5 linked regions of the Mus musculus genome follow. The protein of the gene in region 1 purifies or fractionates together with the protein of each later gene. This does not show direct contact. Links are inferred from orthologs where the notes say so. Each region holds a gene or a part of one and is shown on either strand. Other genes may lie near its edges.

What was found.
Region 2: the proteins of Skp1 (region 1) and Cry1 purify together in Homo sapiens (co-immunoprecipitation; 4 studies listed by BioGRID and IntAct, with this or other methods). This does not show direct contact. The link is inferred for Mus musculus from reciprocal best matches to the Homo sapiens genes SKP1 and CRY1.
Region 3: the proteins of Skp1 (region 1) and Ccna2 purify together in Homo sapiens (affinity purification with mass spectrometry; 4 studies listed by BioGRID and IntAct, with this or other methods). This does not show direct contact. The link is inferred for Mus musculus from reciprocal best matches to the Homo sapiens genes SKP1 and CCNA2.
Region 4: the proteins of Skp1 (region 1) and Fbxo38 purify together in Homo sapiens (affinity purification with mass spectrometry; 6 studies listed by BioGRID and IntAct, with this or other methods). This does not show direct contact. The link is inferred for Mus musculus from reciprocal best matches to the Homo sapiens genes SKP1 and FBXO38.
Region 5: the proteins of Skp1 (region 1) and Cry2 purify together in Homo sapiens (co-immunoprecipitation; 3 studies listed by BioGRID and IntAct, with this or other methods). This does not show direct contact. The link is inferred for Mus musculus from reciprocal best matches to the Homo sapiens genes SKP1 and CRY2.

Annotation. Positions count from the first base shown.
Region 1 is NC_000077.6:52,230,568-52,234,794, forward strand, and holds the start of Skp1 (S-phase kinase-associated protein 1), read left to right. Parts: upstream 1-1,427; 5' UTR 1,428-1,551; intron 1,552-4,227. UniProt on the Homo sapiens protein: Essential component of the SCF (SKP1-CUL1-F-box protein) ubiquitin ligase complex, which mediates the ubiquitination of proteins involved in cell cycle progression, signal transduction and transcription.
Region 2 is NC_000076.6:85,182,255-85,186,454, forward strand, and holds the start of Cry1 (cryptochrome-1), read right to left. Parts: upstream 2,801-4,200; 5' UTR 2,218-2,800; coding exon 2,060-2,217; intron 2,006-2,059; exon of another isoform or gene 1,133-2,005; coding exon of another isoform or gene 1,089-1,132; intron 1-1,088.
Region 3 is NC_000069.6:36,570,239-36,574,368, reverse strand, and holds the start of Ccna2 (cyclin-A2), read left to right. Parts: upstream 1-1,330; 5' UTR 1,331-1,588; intron 1,589-2,065; 5' UTR 2,066-2,545; coding exon 2,546-2,731; intron 2,732-3,389; coding exon 3,390-3,633; intron 3,634-4,130. Other genes in the region: Bbs7 (Bardet-Biedl syndrome 7 protein homolog), read left to right, coding at 747-880. UniProt on the Homo sapiens protein: Cyclin which controls both the G1/S and the G2/M transition phases of the cell cycle. Functions through the formation of specific serine/threonine protein kinase holoenzyme complexes with the cyclin-dependent protein kinases CDK1 or CDK2.
Region 4 is NC_000084.6:62,546,064-62,550,307, reverse strand, and holds the start of Fbxo38 (F-box only protein 38), read left to right. Parts: upstream 1-1,444; 5' UTR 1,445-1,696; intron 1,697-2,046; exon of another isoform or gene 2,047-4,244. UniProt on the Homo sapiens protein: Substrate recognition component of a SCF (SKP1-CUL1-F-box protein) E3 ubiquitin-protein ligase complex which mediates the ubiquitination and subsequent proteasomal degradation of PDCD1/PD-1, thereby regulating T-cells-mediated immunity.
Region 5 is NC_000068.7:92,431,270-92,435,328, forward strand, and holds the start of Cry2 (cryptochrome-2), read right to left. Parts: upstream 2,801-4,059; 5' UTR 2,755-2,800; coding exon 2,543-2,754; intron 1,040-2,542; exon of another isoform or gene 789-1,039; intron 1-788. UniProt on the Homo sapiens protein: Transcriptional repressor which forms a core component of the circadian clock.

The DNA of each region.
Region 1 (4,227 bases):
AAGACCTGGTAATTCAACCCATTGCTTGGTCTCTCTGCCCAGTCTTGTCCTAGAGAAGCTGTAGTCTCTGGTTTCTTTAGGAGGCCCTGTGTGGAAAAGTCTTTTGTCTTCGTGGTGCCAGGAATACCAATCATGTGCTCACTGGTTAGGTGAGCCTGGCGCCTTGGTGGGGCTAGTGATGCTCCCTAGACACAGCAGGGCAGGGCAGGGCAGGGCAGGCAATTGCCCTCTTCCTGGCTGGGCTGAGGCCAGATGGGTGCTTTCAGGCCTCTCCCTTTACTTCAAAGCTGTTTCATTCTAGCGACCTTATCACAGCCTTCTTTGAGCCGCCTGTACAGCATAGCCTGTTCAGGTTGAGCCTGACTGTCCCCGTTCATTGCTGGATGGATCCCCAGCACTGGCCTCACAGATTGGCCTAGAGCATGGTTACCCAAAGAATGTAACCTCCATGCTACATTCACATTGACTCTCTCCAGGCTTGGCGCTTCACTCCAACAATGGCTATTTGGGGGCCTGGAAGCCTCTTCAAAGTTCAAAGGTAGGAAATAAAGGTGAAGATTAGCCAACAGGGTGGTCCTAGCCTCGAATCTCCAAGCTGGCTATTGGGAGGCAGACAGATCTGAGTTTAAATAGCGAGCTCCAAGCCTTATATAGTAAGACCCTGTCTCAAAACAAAACAACAAGAGTTTCAGGCAAGTATATATGTGGTGAAAATGCCTGTGACCCCAGCGCAGGTGGAAGGAGATCATGAATTTTAGACCAACCTGGTCAACATACTGAATTTACAGCTACTCTGTGCCAAACAGGGTCCCGTCTTAAAATGCAAAGAAAATAAAACTTTAAAAATCAAATAAGCAGGTGTACCATGTCAGGAGTATTTAAGAATTCTAAGCCGCCTAGGTTAAAGAAACACCTTTGTCTCAACATGGCATACATGTATATATATATATATATTTAATTCAGTATCAGTAGAGAAGGTTCAACTCCTGAACCCCTGGTCAGCAAACTCAATTCTATTTCCTTAGGTTATTAGGAGAGTAACGGTGGTCAGGCTGAGGCGACTCCTTTAAGGAAAACACACACCCACAACCGGTTTTGCGGTTTGTTGTTTCCAGGCTTTTCCAGGACTGGGGTCTTTCAAGCCGTTTAAGACAGCCCATGCCTGAAAGACCCTTCGGGTCGAGATGGTTTCCCAGCCGGTGCCGGAGTCCGCTTTGAAGGAGAGCATGGCGCTGTTTAGGCCAGCGGAGTAAGGAGGACGTCCCTCTCTTGCCCAGCCACCCCTCCACCCGCCGCCGCTCAGCACCTCTCCAGGAGACCTCTGCGGCGCTCAGGGTCTGCCGCCTGTGTTTCGACTGCCGTCAGGCGATCTCAACGGCCAGCCCGGCCGGCTGTGTGACGTCACGGGCTCGGGGTCCTCGGCGCCTGCGTCCCGCTGCTATAAAAGGCGACGCCGCGCGGCGCCGCTCGAGTGGCCTTGTTCTCGATACTTCGTTGTGGTTGTGAACTCTGTCCGGCAGCCTCGGGCCTGCGGTCTTGAGACGGAGCACCGTGAGTAGCAACCCGCGAGCCGGACACGTTCCTCGAGGGAGGGGCTGGGTGGGAGCCTCGCGTTGGCTGTGGAGTGCACGAGGCGGCGAGGCGACCTGGCCTCGTATCCTGAGGCGCCGTGCGGCCCGTTGCAGACCCCCGGACCGCGGGAGGCACGAGGAGGCCGAGTCAGGCCTTCAAGGGTCTCCCATCCTTTCGGCGCTCGCTCAGGGAAGAGAGTCGAGCCCTGTGGCAGGCCTGCCGCTTTGCAGGCGACGTCAGTCGGCCCCAAACGCGACTGGAAGGCCCAGGCTTCGTACCGGGCCTGCCTTAGCGACAGGCTTGCTGCTCCGCGCTCCAGGCCGGGTGGGCAGCGAGGCTTTGAGTAGGGGTCCTGGGCCGTTCCAGGTGGTGGCTGTCGTTGCCATTTGATTCTTGGCTCCCTCCCTTTTCTCCTGTATCTGGCGTCAATTAGCTCCTTATTGGTCTCACCTTTTTAACCACCGAATATGCAGGTAACAGACTCCCAATGTTTCTTTGCGTTTTGTCACGTTCTGCAGTCTCTGAACTTGTTACTGTAATAGACACTGTCGTCTGAGGTGTGTGGCATTTGACGCTAAAACCTGAGGTGTTTGGGTTTTTTAAGGGATAGTGCTAAAACCTGCCTTCTGGTTCACTTTTTCACGGAGTCCTCAGGTTTGGAGACTCAGTTTTTCAGCAGAATGTTACAGTAGACTGTATTGTGGCATAGAACAATGCAGTCTCTTCCGTCCTGCAGTGTAGTAACAAGTGTCAGAATTTCGAGTCACTTAAAACAGGTTTGTTTTTAAAGTCTGGTATACTAGAATTCTCATGCTAGACTTGGATGATTAATTTCCAAGTCTAGGAGCTTAGAGAACTGAAGAAGGGTTTTTTGAAAGCATATCAAATCGAAACCTCATACATTATTACTTAAAAATTTTGCACTTAATTCCAACACAACAACAAAAGTGAAGTCTAGGATTACAGAGTGCGTTGAATTACAGATTAACCGATTGCCTCCCTGTCATTTAATAAGATCCTGGCTCCCTTGCAAGTAACCTAATACCTAAATTTGACTATGACTAAGCACATCTTTATTTATTGTGAATTATTTCAAGGAAATACGGGGTGGTCTTTTAAAATAATTTTATCAACTACATAGACTTGTTCTGGAATGCTCATTGTAGTACTAGAGATCATAAAAAGAACACAGTGTCTTGCTATTAAAAACTGGCCTATTTTAACTTTTATTGTTGCCTTATCATAGGGAGGGTCTGCTGCTCTGACTTCTCTGTTCTGCAGACATGTTTGTTAGTTGAAAAGTGAACTCTTGAGTCTCTTCAACCATGGATGAGTGGGAGCTGGGTATTTCAATGGATGATTGTAAAACAAGCTTTACCTCTCCCAACCCCCTTTCTTGAAGCTTGTTTACTTGAGGAATTGGGGACAAGTGTCTCAGAAAGCTGAATGAATATTTTAGGAGATGTGCTGAGTCTTAAGTGTTTGACCCTAAAATAGGTGTAGTAGTTATTTTAAATGCTAAACCCTGTACTTTTGTGAAAAATCGCGTTAGTAATACAACTCAGATCCAGAAATGCTTAAGAAGTACCTTTAGAGTAACATTGAAGGCTTGTATCTTCCTTAGAAGCACAGACCTGCCTAGTTGCATGTGAGGTAGGGATTTTGGTGCCCACCTTTAGTCCCAGCACTGGAGGCAGCGGCAGGTTTATGGCTGAGTTCAAGACTAGTCTTAAGTTCCAGGACAGCCAGGGTAATACAGAGGAACCCTATCTCAAAAAACAAAACAAAAACTATCAGAAAAAAAGTTGCTTGTGAATTTTAAAGAGGTCTTGAATTAATCCTCTTTTGAAGGGATGAGGGGGAAATCTGATGATAAGAAATTGCTGGCTTAGAGCTTTTAGTATTAATACTGATTTGTTTTTATTTGGCTTTTTTTTTTTCCCTGATGACTCATTTTATATCTCAGTTGATAAGGTTTTGGATTTTTGTTTTTGGGGGGATTTGTTGAGTTTAGTTTTTGAGACGGGGCCAAGAAAACCAGGCTAACCTTAAATTTATTTTCCTATGTGTCAAGAAGATGGTCATAAACTCCTGATCCTTCTATTTGGCAAACTGTTGGGATTATGGGATGTACTTGCTTGGCTCACCTTTTGGGGAGAGGGGGAGAGGGCGGTGTTGCAGATTGAAATAGAGCTTTATACGTGTTAGGCATTATACTAAGGAGCTATATCTCCAGCCTCTTTTGTATTTCATTTTAAGCAGACTCTTACTGAGTTCCACCAAAGCTGGCTTGACCTCATTATGTTACTTAGTCCTTGAAATTATGATCCTCACTCGGGCATCTAAAAGCTGGGCATTACAGGACTTTTCTCTGTATAGCCCTGGCTGTCCTGGAACTCACTCTGTAGACTGGCCTTGAACTCAAAGAGATGCACCTGTGTCTTGACTCCCAAGTGCTGGAATTAAAGGCATACACTACTACCATGCCATTTTAAATTAATTTATATTTGGTGGGTGTTTTTGTTTTTGGAGACAGATTCTTACATAACCTAGGCTGGATTTGAACTTGGCTGTGTGCCTGATGTCTGAATTCCTGTGTCTCAAGTACTGGCTTTATAGGTGCCTGCCACTATGACTTAAATGCATTTTTGTAGT
Region 2 (4,200 bases), on another chromosome or scaffold:
GTATCATCCTACACTGGGTAATGAAGGTACCACAGGGAAAAGTGACATCTGGGCTGAGTTTCGAAGAGATAAGTAGACTTCTGAAAGCTCACAGTTAGCAGGGCAGTGGTGGCGCACACCTTTAATCCCGGCACTCGGGAGGCAGAGGCAGGTGGATTTCTGAGTTTGAGGCCAGCCTGGTCTACAGAGTGAGTTCCAGGACAGCCGGGGCTATACAGAGAAACCCTGTCTCAAAAAAAAAGAAAAAAAACAACAACAACATCAACAACAACAACAAAAAAAAAACAAAACAAACCAAAAAACAACCAAACAATAACAACAAAACCCCTCACAGTTTAATAGCTATTCATGGAGGTTTTCTGACAAAAACCTTCCAGTAAGTTTTAATCACCTCTGTGCCCACTGAGATACCCTCCTGACTCCCCAGGACTAAGTCACCACTAACCTGCTCTCCATCCCTGTGTACTTGCCCATTGTGGATAGTTCATATAAGCACAATCATCAAGTATGAAGTTTTATGACAGCTTCTTTCAGCTAACATGCTCTCATGGTTCACCTACACATTTCATGGCATTTATCAGTATCTCATTCCTTCATGGCCAAGCAAGTAACTGGTGCATGGATACACACAACAGGAGGCCCATTAATCAGCCGGTTGGCACGAGGGCTGTTTTCACCTGTTGACTGTGATAATACAGCTCTTTTTGTTCCGCTCAACCCCACAACCAACTTGCCGGCACATCCACACAAGCCATTCTCCAAGCTTGCACCCGGAAATGAACGTCTCCTAAGCGGTGTCCACACTTCTTATCCAGCTTCAATGCCCGATCAGTCACGTTCTCAGAATCCCAACCAAAGAAGGTTTTTTTTCTAACTTACGTTAGATGACATCACTTCTCTGCTAATACCCTTGTACTGCAGTCATTTCCACTCTCCTGGGGTAAAGTCACAGACCTTAGTGACGGCGCATAAAGCTCTAGAATCTGGCCCCCGTTACAACTATAACTTCATCACCTAGTACTTTCCCCCAGAGGTTTTGCTCGTCATTCTGGCTGGCTGTTCCTTCCAAAGATCAAACCCATTCTCACCTCAGGACCTTTCCCTGGAATGTTCTTCCCTTAGACAGCTGCATCCCATGTCTTCAAATCGGCGACCACTTTCTCCACACATCCTAGCTGTGGTAACTTCCAGTGAGCTACATCCCCAGCTAATTAACATTGTTTTAAATTGTGTCCCCATCCCTATTCCTGTTTACCTCGTCTTTTCTTTGCAACACGTCTCATCTCCAAAAGGACTACATACGTATTTTTTTCTTGGACATATGCCTGAAGAGGGCAGACTTCTCGTTCACAGCTCTATCCCTCATATCCAAAGACACGGCTGGCACATAAGCTATCAATATTATCTGCTGAACTAATGCTTTCGTTTCATTCCGCCACACAATCGTCTATCCTGTTTTCCCAGGCACAGCTCACAAAATGTCCGGAGGATTTCTTCCAGTCGCAATTCCCTAGAAGGATTATACTTTGCCTCGAAAGAAAAACTGTGCTTTGTCTTGTCAACCACAAGGAGGAGTTGAGAGAGAGAGTTGGGAAACCAGCTAATTCTTTCCCTTGCTTTTCCTCCTCTAACCTCAAGGGGGAAGAAAGCTGGATCCGGAGCCCGCTATAATAAATGAATGGTTTTTCTCCACACTATGAGTTACCTAGACACACACGTCAACATTAAAGATTACAACCCTTTCGGAGGCCTAAGATATCAAGGCCATTATGATCTGGGAGTGTTTAATTCTCCTCCTAGTTATTTCTCGCAAATCAGGGAAGGCGTTCCCATCAACACAGACACATAACTTACCGGTAAAAGCTAAAGTGTTTCAGGGTCGTCAATAATCTCTACTACTAAGTCTGTACTATTTAATATTGACCACATCTACAATTCTTTAACGATGTAGGCAATTCGGTCCCTGGACTAAAACCAAATCTCAGATCTGACACTAACGCATCGACACCCGACTCGCGCACACCGCGATCGATTGATTTCCCAAGCGCTTCGGACTCACCGCCACCTGTTGATGCCCACGTTGGAAGAGCCGGCGAACCAGGGGTCGAGGATATAGACGCAGCGGATGGTGTCGGCGCCCTGGATGCACTCCTTCAGGGCGGGGTTGTCGTGGAGCCGGAGTCCCTTTCGGAACCAGTGCACGGCGTTCACCCCCATGCTCGGGGCGCGGCGGGTCACCCCGACTTCCTCTACCGAGAGCTTCAAGGGAGGGAAGCCGGGCTCATAACCGACACCTGCGCTTCCAAGAAAACCTCCTCACCCGAGGAGTGGGGAAAGGGCTGCAGAGAGGGGACGGGAGGAGGCGACGCCGAGGCGGGGCGCGGAGGTGGCGAGCGCGCAGCTGGCAGATGAATGGAGGCTGCCGAGGCGCCGGGATCCACGCGCGACGTCCTTCAGGAGCCCGCGCCCAGCGTCCGGAGGACACGCATACCTTCCAGGGCCTGAGACCCCCGGAGCGCAAGCGAGCGCGCGGGGCCCGAGCCGCCACGACGGCCCGAGCTGGTCGCAGCAGCCCCGGGAGGCTCGTCACGGAAACCTCGCCCAACCGAGGCGACCCGCGAGGAGACGGTGGCGCGCCCGAGGCGGCCTCCACGAACGGACACGAGCTCACGCGGCCTCCGCGCGACGCGGCCTGTGCGTCCCGGAGTGGGCAGCGAGCTCGGAGAGCGCGGGCTAGAGCTCCAGGCCGCGGGACGCTCGCCTGCCGGTCACCGGTCCCGAGGCTGCCCGGGTGACTCCGCCGCGTCAGCGGCCTCCGCCCCGCCCCCGGCTTCTCATTGGGCGGCATGCACCCCACGTGACCACCGGCACCTCACGTTTCTGAAGTGTGTTTACTACACTGGCTCAGACCCCCGCGTGCGCCGCCGCGCCCGGTGCTTCGGGACCGGTTGCGATCGCTGGGCGCTCACGACCTGAGTTCTCGCGTGGGATCCGGACTCGCAGCCTCTGCGGGTCTCCTGAGCCCCAGGCCGCTCGCGGGGGCCACAGGCCGCGAGAAGGGGGAGGAGGCATAGTTCTGCTCCCGGGGCCGGGAGCCGCCTCCATTGGCCGAGGCTCGCGGGGACCCGGATGAGCACGGGGCTGCGGGGAGCTCGCGGGCGCGCGCTCTGCCGGGCACGGCGCGCGTGCGCTGCGCTCTCGCGGTGGAAGAGAAGAGGCTAGGACGCGGGAGCGCGCCCAGGGCTCTTCCTATGGGTTGTGTGGAAGGTCTGAAGCCAGTTCCGTGTGCCCTGAGAGTTATTGCTGGGCTGGGTGAGAGGCAACCGAGGCACAGTCCTGCCTCTCACCCAGCTTCAATCAGGTGTTAATCGGAGTCCCCTGCTCTGAAAGGAGCAGAAATCACGCCGTTAGCCTTTTTTACTGTTTGGGGCGGGCACCTTTGCCCAAGCTCTGGAGAAGACAGGTCCGATCTCAGATATTCAGCATTTCATAATACTGTAGATACATCGTCAATTTATCAACTCTAATCTATTACATGAAGTGTAGTTTAGAAGGTATTTTGATTAGGTTTTTGGGCTTTTTGCTTTGCTTTTTTTTTTTTTTTTTTTTTTTTTCTTCAACTGAAGTTAAATGGGAAGAGGAACCTTAATTGTAGTAAAGACTTCCATCAGGTTGCCTGTAGGGAAGTCTGGGCACTTTCTTGATTAATGAGTGATGTGGAAGGACCCGACCAGTGTGTGTGGCGCCACCATTAGGCTGGTAGCCCTAGGCGGGTTGTATATGGAAGCAGGCTGAGGAAGCCACAGGGAACCAAAACGGCTTTCCTCCATGGCTTCTGCTTCAGCCCTCTATCTCCAGGTTTCTGCTTTGAATTTCTGCCCTGACTTCTCCCCACGATGGATTATTAACTGTAAACGGCAACAAACCCCTTCCTTCCTGGCCAAGTTGCTTTTGCTCATGATGTTTTATCAAAGCAATTGAAGTCTAATGAGAACACAGGGCCACATGTGCATCTTTACCAGACTTCCTAGCCATAACCTACAGGCCATGCCTTAGACATACAATGCCCTTTTTGTTGAGACGGGGTCTCGCGGAGCCCTGGCTTACCTTGAACCTGCTGTGTAACTGAAGATGGCTCTTGGTTTTGCTCTTATCCCTGAGTCCTAGCATCACCTATGTGCATATATTCATCCAGGGTTA
Region 3 (4,130 bases), on another chromosome or scaffold:
TTACATGATGGTGTTGCAGATCTACCGTCTCTCATCTGTGATTCCAAAATCTAGGAAGCAGCTTTGAAAACCAAAGTTTACCTTTGTAAATCATTTACCAGCAAATTGTCTTAATCTGATTGACTTCATGATAAAACCTGATTTAAACTGACACGAAGCTTTTTCTATTTTTTTTTTAAATCCCACTGAGTGCAAGTATTCACCTGTTTATTGTAAAAGCATTGCCATTTTGTTAGCAGATATCAGCACTCAGTCTCATTGGACCAATATAAAAAGTATCAATGGTATATTCTTTTTCTCTTCCTAAAATATACTTTTTTTCAAGGGTCTTGTATAAATAATAGACAACTTGAGTTGTCTCTGTGTTACATCTTGAAAACTCAAAGGTGCAGTAATTTCCCAGACCTCTGCACCCAGTAAGCCCATGGGTGAAGTGCTTCAGTTCAGACGTTCTTCCTGATGCAGCAGCAGTCAGTCGCTGGGATGCAGGGTGCACCGACACAGATTCAGAATCGCGACCAGTGGCTTGTCTAGGTCAGCAGTTGCAACCCATTGTTAGAAGGTTATCAAATATTTATGTCTTGAAAGTTGCTTCAAACCTTCTCCACATACACATCTGTTTTTAAAAACACCAACCTCTTCCAGGCTTGTATGTGTTGAATAATGGAGTCTCAGGTGGTGAGAGAATGCCACATGCATTGTTAAAAGAACTAATCAATAACAAGAAATAATATTTTTCTTCGTAGGTATGATTACTGATCTTTTTATAGATAAATTTAAGTTCAAAGGCACTAATGTAAAAACCAAAGTACCCATGCTCCTGGAGATTCTCGACAGCTACGACCAGAACACACTGATTTCTTTCTTCGATGCAGCATGAAAGATAAACAAGGTAGGCCAACAGGACAGCCGAAGAAGCAAGCAGAGCCTGATCAGACCCGAGGCACCTCAGATGGACGTCCCACATGTAATCAGAAGAGTGACGGCCTCTAAGCATCCCCCTACGAGTACCCATGAAAGTCCTTTTTATTGTGTACTTGAGGGGAAAAGAAGATCTTTTAGTCATTCATTTCAGGGGAATATTGCATTGAAAGTTTTAGAATACTATTAAATAAGAGCAAATAAGCTGTCTTTTGTTTTCAAAGGGTAGTTATGAAAACAATGATTACATTTTATTATATTTTATGTATGATTCTTAACTATTAAATGTGAACATTTAAGGTAATATACTTGTGTCTTTATATATTTATTTAGGTTTTGTATATATTTCTCTGTGTGTGTGTGTTTGGGTTGGTTTTTTTTTTTTTTTTTGTGGTTTTTGTTTTGTTTTGTTTTTCGAGACAGGGTTTCTCAAGACAGGATTTCTTTGTGTAGCTGACCTGGAACTAACTCTGCAGTCCAGGCTGGCCTTGCACTCAAGAGATCCACCTGCCTCTGCCTCCTGAGATGCCCGGAAAAGGCTTGGCCATCGCCTCCTGGCTGCCCGGTTTTCTTATGAACACTTTTTTTCTACTTTTGAGACATCATCTCACTACATAGCTGACTTGGACTAACTTGAATTCAGAGATCTGAAACTCTGGGATTAAAGGTATGTACCACAATGCACTTCATTTCTAAATGTAATATCTATTTGGGTCAGTGGAACTTCATGGTCTGATGTCACAACCAAGGATTAGCAAAATTAATGGACAGCTGAATTTCTTGTAGTACACCACTTGTTATCAACAATAGCTCATGTTGGCATTTTAAATTAACCCATCTTTAATTGGGGGTGGGGGTGGGGTAGTTTACTGGAATGCGGGGCATAGAGACACGCCTTTAATCCCAGATCAGTGAGCTCTGATAACGGATATCAGTGAGTCACAGGACAATTGGGACAGCATTATGAGACCCTGCCTCAAAATCAAACAACAAACAAATGATATACAGGAGAGGTGAAACAATAGTAAACAGTAAAAGTTCCAGCGTTTCCCTATGTTGTATGGCAGCATCACAGAGAAAGAGAAAGGAGTAGTGTACCCAGGACGGGGCAGTTTGTCATTCAGATCCATACGCTCCTGCCTAGGCGCCACCCAGCGACCAGGAGAAGGCGCTTCACCCCTTAGCTGAGGCGAAGGCCGACACCTCGAGGCCCCGAGGGCTTGTCTGGACCGCCCAGCGGCTCCGGCAGGATCCTATGAGGCTACAGATCCACTGAGCAGCAGAGATCGGCCGAAAGCGGCCGCCCGCCCCGCCCTCCTCTGCGCAGGCGCGTCCTCAGGCTCCCGCCCTGTAAGATTCCCGTCGGGCCTTCGCTCGCGGCGACCGGCGCTTCTGGTGACGTCACGGACTCCGGACGCCCTCATTGGTTTATTTCAATAGTCGCGGGCTACTTGAACTACAAGACCAGCAGCCGGCGGGCGGCGCGCAGCTCGCGGCTCCTGGGCTCTACGCTCCTCCCGCCTGCAGCCTCTGCTCCGCGGGTCGGCCGCCAGGGTCCCGCGCTGCTCCGGAGCGGCGGGCGCTGTGCACGCTCTGCCGCCGACAGAACCGGACCGGAGCCGCGATGCCGGGCACCTCGAGGCATTCGGGTCGCGATGCGGGCTCAGCCCTGCTCTCGCTGCATCAGGAAGACCAAGAGAATGTCAACCCCGAAAAACTGGCGCCAGCCCAGCAGCCGCGGGCGCAGGCGGTGCTGAAGGCCGGGAACGTGCGTGGACCCGCGCCGCAGCAGAAGCTCAAGACTCGACGGGTAATAGGGCGCGGGGGTCTGGAGGAGGGCCGGGCGGGAGCGGTCCTGGGTTTAGCAGCCCAGAGGGCCGGAAAGCACGCTGAGCATTCCAGGGGGAGTCAGGCTGCAGTCTTCGCGGTCCGGGCGTTTCTAGTACCAAATAGTCCCACGAGCTCTGCCGACCCGTGTAGACCGCCCTTCGGCACTAGTGGCGCCGCGTTCCAAAAAATGCCCGGGGTCATACCAAGCGTTGCCACTCGCGTGTCGACTTCCCCCAGCTGTGTACCTTTCCCTCCACTTTTAAAGCCAGGCATTGCATTAGGATGTAGATCCCTTCCCCCTCACCATCTGCTTCCCAGATTACTACTTCAGGGAAGGACATAAAGCAAGTATTCTTCGTGGTAAATTCCGCCATTTTAGCCAGACTTGCTGTTTTGCTCCACCCTGGGGCTAAAGTTGTGAATCAGTTCTTTGCCCTAACTTTAGTCTTTGATTAGTTTGGAATTCCAGTCCGTTCTATTTATAGCCTTTGTAGAAATGGCTGTGACAGATCGGTTTACACACCTTTACCTGGGCTTTGCCTCATGGACTTATATGTTTCTTAGAGTATTTGGAATTAAAAGCTGATACCCACCGGGCTAGAAGCAAAGTTGTATTGAAAAAGATTCCTCCTCTTTAGGTTGCTCCTCTTAAGGACCTTCCTATAAACGATGAGCATGTCACTGCTGGTCCTTCATGGAAAGCAGTCAGTAAACAGCCTGCCTTCACCATTCATGTGGATGAAGCAGAAGAGACTCAGAAGAGGCCAGCTGAGCTTAAAGAAACAGAGTGTGAAGATGCCCTGGCTTTTAATGCAGCTGTCTCTTTACCCGGAGCAAGAAAACCACTGACACCTCTTGACTATCCAATGGATGGCAGTTTTGGTAAGGTTGCTTTTTATTTTTACCAGTCTCTCTTCCTTCTTTCCCTCCTTTCTGTCTTTTTATTCCCCCTCTGGGTTTCTTGAGTATCCTTGACTGTCCTGAAACTCAATCTGTAGACCAGGCTGACCTTGAACTAAGAGATCCACCTACCTCAGCCTCCCAAGTGCTGGGATTAAAGGCATGTGCCACAACCACCAAGCCTGTGCCTTTTATTTTTGAGACAGGATCTCAACCTGTAGCTTATATCTTGATATTTTGAGTTTTAAGATTATGTCTTACCCGATCATACACAGTGAGTTAAGATTACCGCAATCTCATGACTAGTACTGACCTATGAAAGGACTCAAATCTTTAACCGGCAGGAGGGCACTGCAAACCAACATCAAGTTTAATTAGATCGTAAATATCTATCTTAATCTGACTTTATAAATGTTTGGCTAGGAGAATAGATTTCAGTTTTGTGTCTGACTCACTCCTTAACATGCCAGCCCTAAGAG
Region 4 (4,244 bases), on another chromosome or scaffold:
ACCAACTCAAGGGTAAAAGTGTCATGAGATAACATCTGAGGTTTACAACAGCTTTATTATAACTCACTACCTGATGTTTCTGCCAGTGTATTTTAAAAGCTTTAAGTTATGATTTTCTTATTTCTGCTATTTAAAAAAAAACTTTATGAAACCATTACACATTGGCAAGTAGTTTGGGGGCTGTCCTGAATATGTGTTGTCAGGCCATGGTAACTCATACTTGGCTCCAGAATAAACAAACTATCATGTATTTCTTATGAAGTGATACCTGTGTTTTTGAAAGCACAAAAAGACCACCAAATGAAAGAATATACCCAATTGAATTAAAGAACGAACTCAATGGTGCTGAAATAAACTTTACTGCTTTTGTATTATGCCAGGCCCTAACTATATACTTCACCATCTCATCCCTGTTTATTCTTCAGAACAACCTGGGAGAAGAAGGTGGGGAGATGGGGAAGGCCTACACTTACTTATTCAAGTCCAAATACATTGACAGAAATAAGTAACGTGAGTACACACATTTCACTTACAGGAATTACACACAATTCTTCAATTACACGGATAATTGCAGTATTAAAGTTACCATGTGCACATATATACATATGTAATGCTGTTTTGGTCTGGTTTTGTTTTCCTACCAGAACTCCAAATTGGGATACATGGTTGATACCTGGAGCTACAGCCCAGTGTGCTAACGCTAATTCTTAGTAAGGAAAGAACTAGCAAGTCTGGTAAAAATTAAGAATAATTTGAACATTGTGCACGGTGCTCCCATACGCCAACCTTACTGAGTTTAGAATCAGCAGTTAACCTACCCCGCCCTGTAGATTGTCAAATTGAGTCTTAAATGTTCTATGTACATGATCTCTGTCCCCCCCCCCCTCCCCCGGGGCGACCACAAGAGTTAGATACCTCCGTGTTAGTTACAGGCCTGTGAGTACATCGACAAGAGAGCTGTAGGTTAAAAAAAAAAAAAAAATCTAGATTTCAGTCCAGTTTTGTGACATTGTGACAGCTATCTTCACTTTAGACAATGTAGAGGAAAAAAAAAAATCTATCAAGCAGACCTCTGCTCATAAGCCAAAGGCCCAGTGTTACATTTATTAATAAAACATTGATGTGAAAATCGTCATGTTCAAGAGACTATAGATCATAAACATGCAAAGGCAATGCTCGCAAATCACAGAATGATTTAATAGTCTTTGCGCCCCGCCACTTACCCACACCCCGAAATCAAGGGTCCTGTTTTTCGCTGGAAAATATTTTTATTGCACCTATTCATTTTGCCAATGAAGAAGAGGGGAGCCAGCGTACATCCAGGATTACAGAGTACCAGCACCACGGAAGAGCCGCAAGGAACCAGCTCCAGGAAATAGATTCCGGGTATTTCCGGTAGGGAACGCCTACGTCACCGGAAGAAGGGCCGGCTGCTAGGCTTTAAGAAATACCACGCTTATCATGGCCGCTTCGCTAGGACGGAGCCACACCTAACATGGACGCGGTGAGGCCCGCCCAGGCCCATCCCTCGATGACACTTCTTCGGAAGACGCTAGAGGCGGCGGAAGCGGAAGCGCTGCGGAGGTGGGGGCCGCAGGAAGAGTCTGTCGCGATTCTCGGTCCCTCTCCACCACAAAAACAGACGGAGGGCCGGCGTAAGTGAGCCGCGGCCTGGGAGGCTGTCGCGACGGTGGAGGTGCGCGGTGGTGGGCAGATGGAGGGGTCCGGGGCTCCCACCGCCCAGATCTTCGATCTCGGGGTTCAGGAACTCTGGGGCCTAGAGCGACCGAGAAAGGAGAGTCCGAAGTGTAGCGCTGGCCTTTCAGGCCTTGCTCCCAAGGCATCGCAGTTTTCTAATTCCGCCACGCAGAGCCTTGCCTGGGGCTCGGTTTCATCCCCCAAATGCGAGACTTGGGCCAGACCTGGGGCCCCTCCCCCAACACACACACCCCAGGCGTCCGCAGATGCAACGATTTTAATGTTGAGTCGTTTGAGTCAGTCAATCGAGGAACGCCTGCCCTCAGTCCGCTGAGGAAGTAGCCCTCCTATGATGCGGTTAATTCATCGTGGAAAAAAAGAAAAGAAAGAAAGAAAGAAAAGGGAGACCCTGGTTTTTGTCCCACTGTTACTGTTTTATTTGGGGGGAGGGAGGAATTCCCCCTCATTGTTTTGAACCTTAAATGTCTCATCTTTTCGAGAAAAGTATCTCGAAGTAGACACTGGCTTAAATCTGTCTCCCCCTCTCGCCCCCATCCCATCACAAATGGGAGATACAGTAGGGTTTCTGTAAAGCCATTTTTTTTTTTTTTGTATTTTTTTTTTCTGGAGAGATGGGAAAAGCACATAGTATGTAATTATAGACTGAGAATATTCGTGTGATTTTTTTTTAACTTTTGTTTGAGAATTACCGTTTTTAGATGACTAGAAAGACATGCTCATCCCTCTTGTCATAGATTGTGATGTTGCAGGTGTGCTGTGTTTGGGAGAAGGGTGTCAGGGGTGTGGATGTGTGTGTTGTACAGTGTCGTCCATCCTTTAAGCATAACAGCCATCAGTCTTTGCCAAAGCATGTGTGACTTCCTACAAAAGATCCTGCTGTTTGTCAACATTCCTTTGTAGAAGGTGTGTTTGGGGGGCAGGGGGAGGGCGAGAGGGTGGGAGCAGGTCTTTGGTTCCTCACCTGAGAGTCAGGACTCTCCCTCTGTACCTCTGGCCATTTGTATGTAGTAGTTCTGCCCTGATTGTACTTGGCCTTTTGGTGGGGGAGGTATTAAAGTAGAGTCTGGGAAGTTTGACTGAAGAGGAGAAAAGAATTCCATGGGAAGCCATCATCCATACCAGGTGAGGGCTTGACAGTCTGGCTGCTTTCCAGTACACCAGGCTCCTGTGTAGCTCCTCAGCCATGCTGTGTAAGTAAACCCAAAAACCCATTAGTTCCCCAAGGTAAACTTTGGTGGAATTGTATGTTAGTTTGTCATTGGGGCCTCTTAAGGGAGATTTATGTCTCTAGAGAATGAATTCAGACAACACAGCAAGTGTGTGTGTGTGTGTTTAAATGGTTGTGTGCCTGAGGTACACGTTTCATTTTCATTCAGAAGGACATAACAGAAGAGAAAGGGGAAACTAGGTTTCACTGAAGTTAAGTGGTATAAAAGTTGGTCTTGAGTTGGAATTGAAGGCCTAGGTACTTATTTCAGAAACGGTGCGTTCTGCCTTAGAGACAGACAGCATATTCTTCTGATGCTCATTTTCATTATTTGTAAAATAAAGGGTTGAACTAGATTCCTTGCCCTTTCATCAGTATAGGTTCCCCCCTCCCCTTTTAAATCAAAGCAGTGTGGCGGATGGATGACACTTTGAGAGCAAGAGGACACATTATAGATAGTGGATACATAAAGTATTCTGTGAATATTAATTACGTGATGTGCAAGGTTCCACTGATATAACAGAATGAAGCCAACAGGCGTTAGATAAAGAGGCATTAGAAACCTCATCGGCAGGAATGACCTAGGCAGTGTAGGACCCATGGGATGATTTAAGATCTTTGCTCCAGGTTAATGTTTTGTTTGTTTAGGGCAATGAGATGTCATTTGATCTTAGTAAGTTGGGATGATTGAGGAAGCAACCTGACCTGTGGAATCTAAGAGTATAAGCCAGGTGGGAAGGCTTTGCTGCCACCTTGTACTCACCAGACAGTAACTGAATGAGTGAGGAGATGGAGGAAGGCCTAGATGCCGGTGACCGAGAGCAAGGGGTCTTTTCAAGAGAATTGCTGTTGATCAGGTACAGACCAAGACCTTGATTCCACCTTGTGGGAAAAAGAAATCTTAACAGATCCTTGCCGTTTCAGCTAGTTTTGTGATGTCAGTTTAGCTCTTCTCTGTGAAATACTAGTGTTGCAGAGTGCCATGTGTGAGTTGAGGAGTGGAGAGGAGTAATTACTCCTTTCTAATTAGTAGTCAGTGATAAAAAATACTGACAAGGTAGATCAGGTAGAGGGAGATTGTCGGTTGAAAGGGGCTTAAGGAGTCCAGGAGGTTGGGTATTTATAGGCACAGGTGTTTCAGGCTTATGCACTACAGTGTTAAGTAAATACATCTATGATAGAGTACACAATTAAAATAGCGTAATTTCAAGCAAGTGAATGTTAGAGCATTAAAGCTTAAGACAGGCACAATTTGAGGATCGACCCAAATGATTTTGTCGGTTTATTATAGAGTCCTTTCTGCTGACGACATGGCAGA
Region 5 (4,059 bases), on another chromosome or scaffold:
TTGCCTTTCTCTTTAACACTGTGGCTATTTTAATCGGATTCCATCTGCAGGGAGGCAGTCAGTGTAACAGAGGTGACAGAATCAGATCTCCCTCTGCTGCCAGATGGGCCCCACCCTTCTAGAGAGAGTCGGTTGCTGAAGCAGTAGGGGGCAGGGCCGTCATGCTGCAGCAGCACCATTCTCTTAAGACTACTCCCAAGCTCAGAAGCAGTGCCGGAAGATTACACATACTGTAGTTATGCAGAAATGCAGCTGAGGGGGGCAGGTGGGGTGGGATGGGTGGACTCCTCGCCTCCAACTCCTCACCTCCAACCCTGTGCACAAATGGCATTTAGCCCCGCACTCAAACCACTGGGGGCAAGGACAACGGCGAGGCTGCTGGAGTGTGCCTGATGCCGGGCTCAGAAGCAGCTACCATATTCGATCTGTTTTTTTGTTATTTCACCTTGTCCTCCTAAATGCCAAAGCTAATTAGACTTCTGGTCAATGCACTGAAGCAACACACTCCCTGGGTTGCCTGGCTTGCTATAGTTCCTTAGTGCAGCACTTCTGAAGCTTGGCTGCAGTGGCCAAAAAACCAAGGCAGCCTAGGGTAGGGCAAGGCAACTGAATCAGAGAAGCAGAAACGGGGGAGGGGAGCCCAGGAAGCTTTCAAGGGTCCTTAAGTGATTCCAACGTGAGGCAAATATTAAAAGCACATCTGTAGTTTGTGTCTCCCCACCTCCACCCCCACCCCATTCTGCTCACGGCATTTAGGCCTCCATTTATGCTTGTCTTTCTCTACTCAGATGCAGGTCTCTGGAGGCTGTGGGAGCTCACCGAGGCCCGACGGTTCACTGCCATGCTCGGCAGCAGCCTACCAGCTACAACTCCTGGAATCCCATTCTCAGTACCTGCACTCCCACAGGACTTGAGATGTTGCCCAAGCATCTGAGCTGCCTCAGTCGTTTTCTGCTTCATTCTCTCGAAAGTGCCGCTACAAAAGGGTGACCCACAAAAATCAAAAAACCATAAAACCAAGCATACTGGAGTTCAATCTACCTTGTGAAGGGGGAAAAAAGGCTCTTTTATTTCCACTACCACAAAGGAGTAGGCAGTCATAGATAGCGCTCCCCCCAAATCCCAGTAAAAAACGAAACATCTTCATGACAACATAACAAATAAGAGTCAGATTCTATTGACTCTGTCCACACTGGCGCACTGCCAAAAGGAAGGGGAGGGCAAAGTCTGAGGCCTGGTTTAATGTCCACAGCAGAGATGGTCATTTGCCGGTGTTTGTCAAACCCAACCTCCTATCTATGGAAACTGGAGCGAGACAGAGTAATAGCCCAATCTGAAAACTGTGTGGGCTGGCTCTTCACAGGACTATCTTTAGTTGCTCCCTCTGTGTAAATGGGGCAGGAAGGGGCATTTAGTAGGCGTGCTACTAGGAACACTTGCTCTCCTAGCAGGGCAAACCCCTCTTGGAGAGGAAAGAGTGGACGCTGAGAGCCACGGTCTCCTGGGAACTACCTCACTCATCTGTGCAACAAGGCCATAAGCAAACACCTCTCATAACAATGCAAACAAACCAAGCTACTGCAGGGAGGCCTTTAGACAGTGATGGGAACATGGTGTATCAAAACGTCTTGTTTCTGAAGACTGGTTACAGAGAAAATACATCAGATGCCGATTTATTATGTCACAGCATGCTGGGAAAGGGTTCAGCCTCCTGGGAGTTATCACCGAATCTTCATATTGTGTTCTTGTTTTTCCACATCAGCTCCTAAAAGTCTCATCTGTAATGGCCCAGCTCTCCTAAAAAACACTTCATGACAACAGGCGGAAGAGCTGACGGGTGATGCAACCCTCTTTGAATATCTTTCTAGCAACGTTATAACTACACAGGGATCCTCTCAGATGGGTTAGGGGACCTCCTGAGAGATTGCTCATTGGGTAAAGGCACCCGGCTTTCCACCCTGGAACCGTATGGTGAGTGAGAACCTGCAAGTCGTCCTTTTAACTCTATACACTGCCATGCCATGCATGTCCTTTCCCAATCAATGTTTTTTAAAAAAAATGCGTCAAGAACACAAAAGTGCCATTACCCGATGATGCCCTTGGGGTCTTTTTAAAACCGGCTAATGCTAAGCTAGGTTCCCTGATCACCACCACGTTTGTCTGTGAAGAGAGGTTACGCGGGATGGGAAAAGAGGCGTGGGGGAGAGTCAAACAAATCCGAGGCTTAGGGAAGCCCTTGGGGGGGGGGGGTCCACGAGGGGCTACTTCTCTTGAAGAAGCTTTTCTCCGCTCCCACAGCACACCCCTAAAAGCCCAGTCCCCATTCTTCCAGGGACTGGCTGCAGATCCTCCCTCAGGTTGACTTCGCGTTTTTGACGAGAGTCTCGTCAGCATAGAGGGACCTCTGTCCCCCAGGCCTCCCAGGAGTTCAGAGCGGGCCACACTGGGCAAAAACGCTGTGTCAGAGTGGCCGCAGGCTGGAGTTCCTGGGCCCAGGGGAGTCCGCTTGGTGTTGCCACCCCGCAGCATAGGGTCCCCTCACCTCCATCGGTTGATGCCCACAGACGAGGAGGCCGCGAACCACGGGTCGAGGATGTAGACGCAGCGCACACAGCGCGCCCCGCGCACGGCAGCTAGCAGCGCGGGGTTGTCGTGGAGCCGTAGTCCTTTGCGGAACCAGTGCACCGAGGACGCGCCGTCCGCGCCCATCGATTGCGCGGGGACCGTCGCTGCCACCACAGCAGCCGCCGCCATCGCCGCCTGGACTGGGTCTCGGTCTGCCGCTCCGCCCGACCGCCCCGTTGGTCCCGCCCAGCGCCCGCCCAGCGACCTATGATGCAGCCTCTCCCTGGCATGACTCCGCCCCAAGGAGTCTGGATCGCCTCTGTGATTGGGTGAGACCCGGTGGGACCCTCCCTCTGTTCCATTGGTCAGCAGCGTCGGCGCAGGCTCCGCCCCCTCACGTTCCCACCATGTGTGGTCCCGCTTGGTAGCCACCCGCCGGTGACGCAGGACCGCGCTGCGTCCGCCCCGCGTGGGCTGAGTCTGGAGGGACCTCGGATCTCCTACGCATTTCGCGTCCCCGGGAAAGACAGGGGTTGCGGTGACTCCGGCCGGTGGCTGACAGACCTGTTACCGGGCCCTTTCTAACAGTTCATTGTCCTGTTCATATGTGAGGCTGAGCGGTGATTGCCTTACACAAACTGTCCTATTTTCTATTTTCATCTCATCCTGGTAACGTTCATTTCATAAACACGAATAAAACAGATGCTTGTTAGTCTTACTCTGCAGATGAAGTAAGCTTAGGGCGCCCCAGTTTGAATGACTTGCGCAATACCATGAATCCAGTAAGATTCCACTCAGAATCTTCCGATTTCAAAATCCACTTCCTCGCAGAGAATCTTGGTATTTGCATACAGAAAGGCATAAGGATAAAGGAGACGCCCTTTTATGCGGCAGGAGTGGGTTTGGGAGAAAGGACAAAGGTTTCAGAGGACGTGGGTTGAGGCAGTAATTATGCCCTCAAATGAATTCATTTCTTTTACGTTCTGTTTAGCAGACACAGTGCAGTTATTTTGCACAAAACTCTGAACTGGATTCTATGTGGGAATCAGAGATGTGCAGGGCAATATTCTCCTGTCTCCTTTGGGAATCCTTTGATTCTTTGGAGATTCTGGCAGAGTTTGCTGATTGAACAAGTGCAGCAACCGTTGCACTTGGGCTAAGATGGGCTAGTTGGGATGGAGGGCTGGAGCTATCCAGCAGAGAACTGTTCCGATTTGTCCTTGTGTTGATCCTATGGGTAGTCACCTTCCCCATCTTGGGAATGAGCAATGAAAGAATCTAGAATTTAGTCAGCAATTTAATGGCATTAATTGGCACCACTCTCTGACTACAGCGTCATTACGAGCCTCTCATTTCCAGCGCTTTGGACATGCTGTTCTCTCACATCACATGCCCCAGCCCACACCCTCGTGCCTCCTGTTTTCCCTGTGACAGCTGTTATTTTCCAGTTTCCTGGGCCCAACCTGCACAGGGGCTCACCTCATTTGGTGTCTT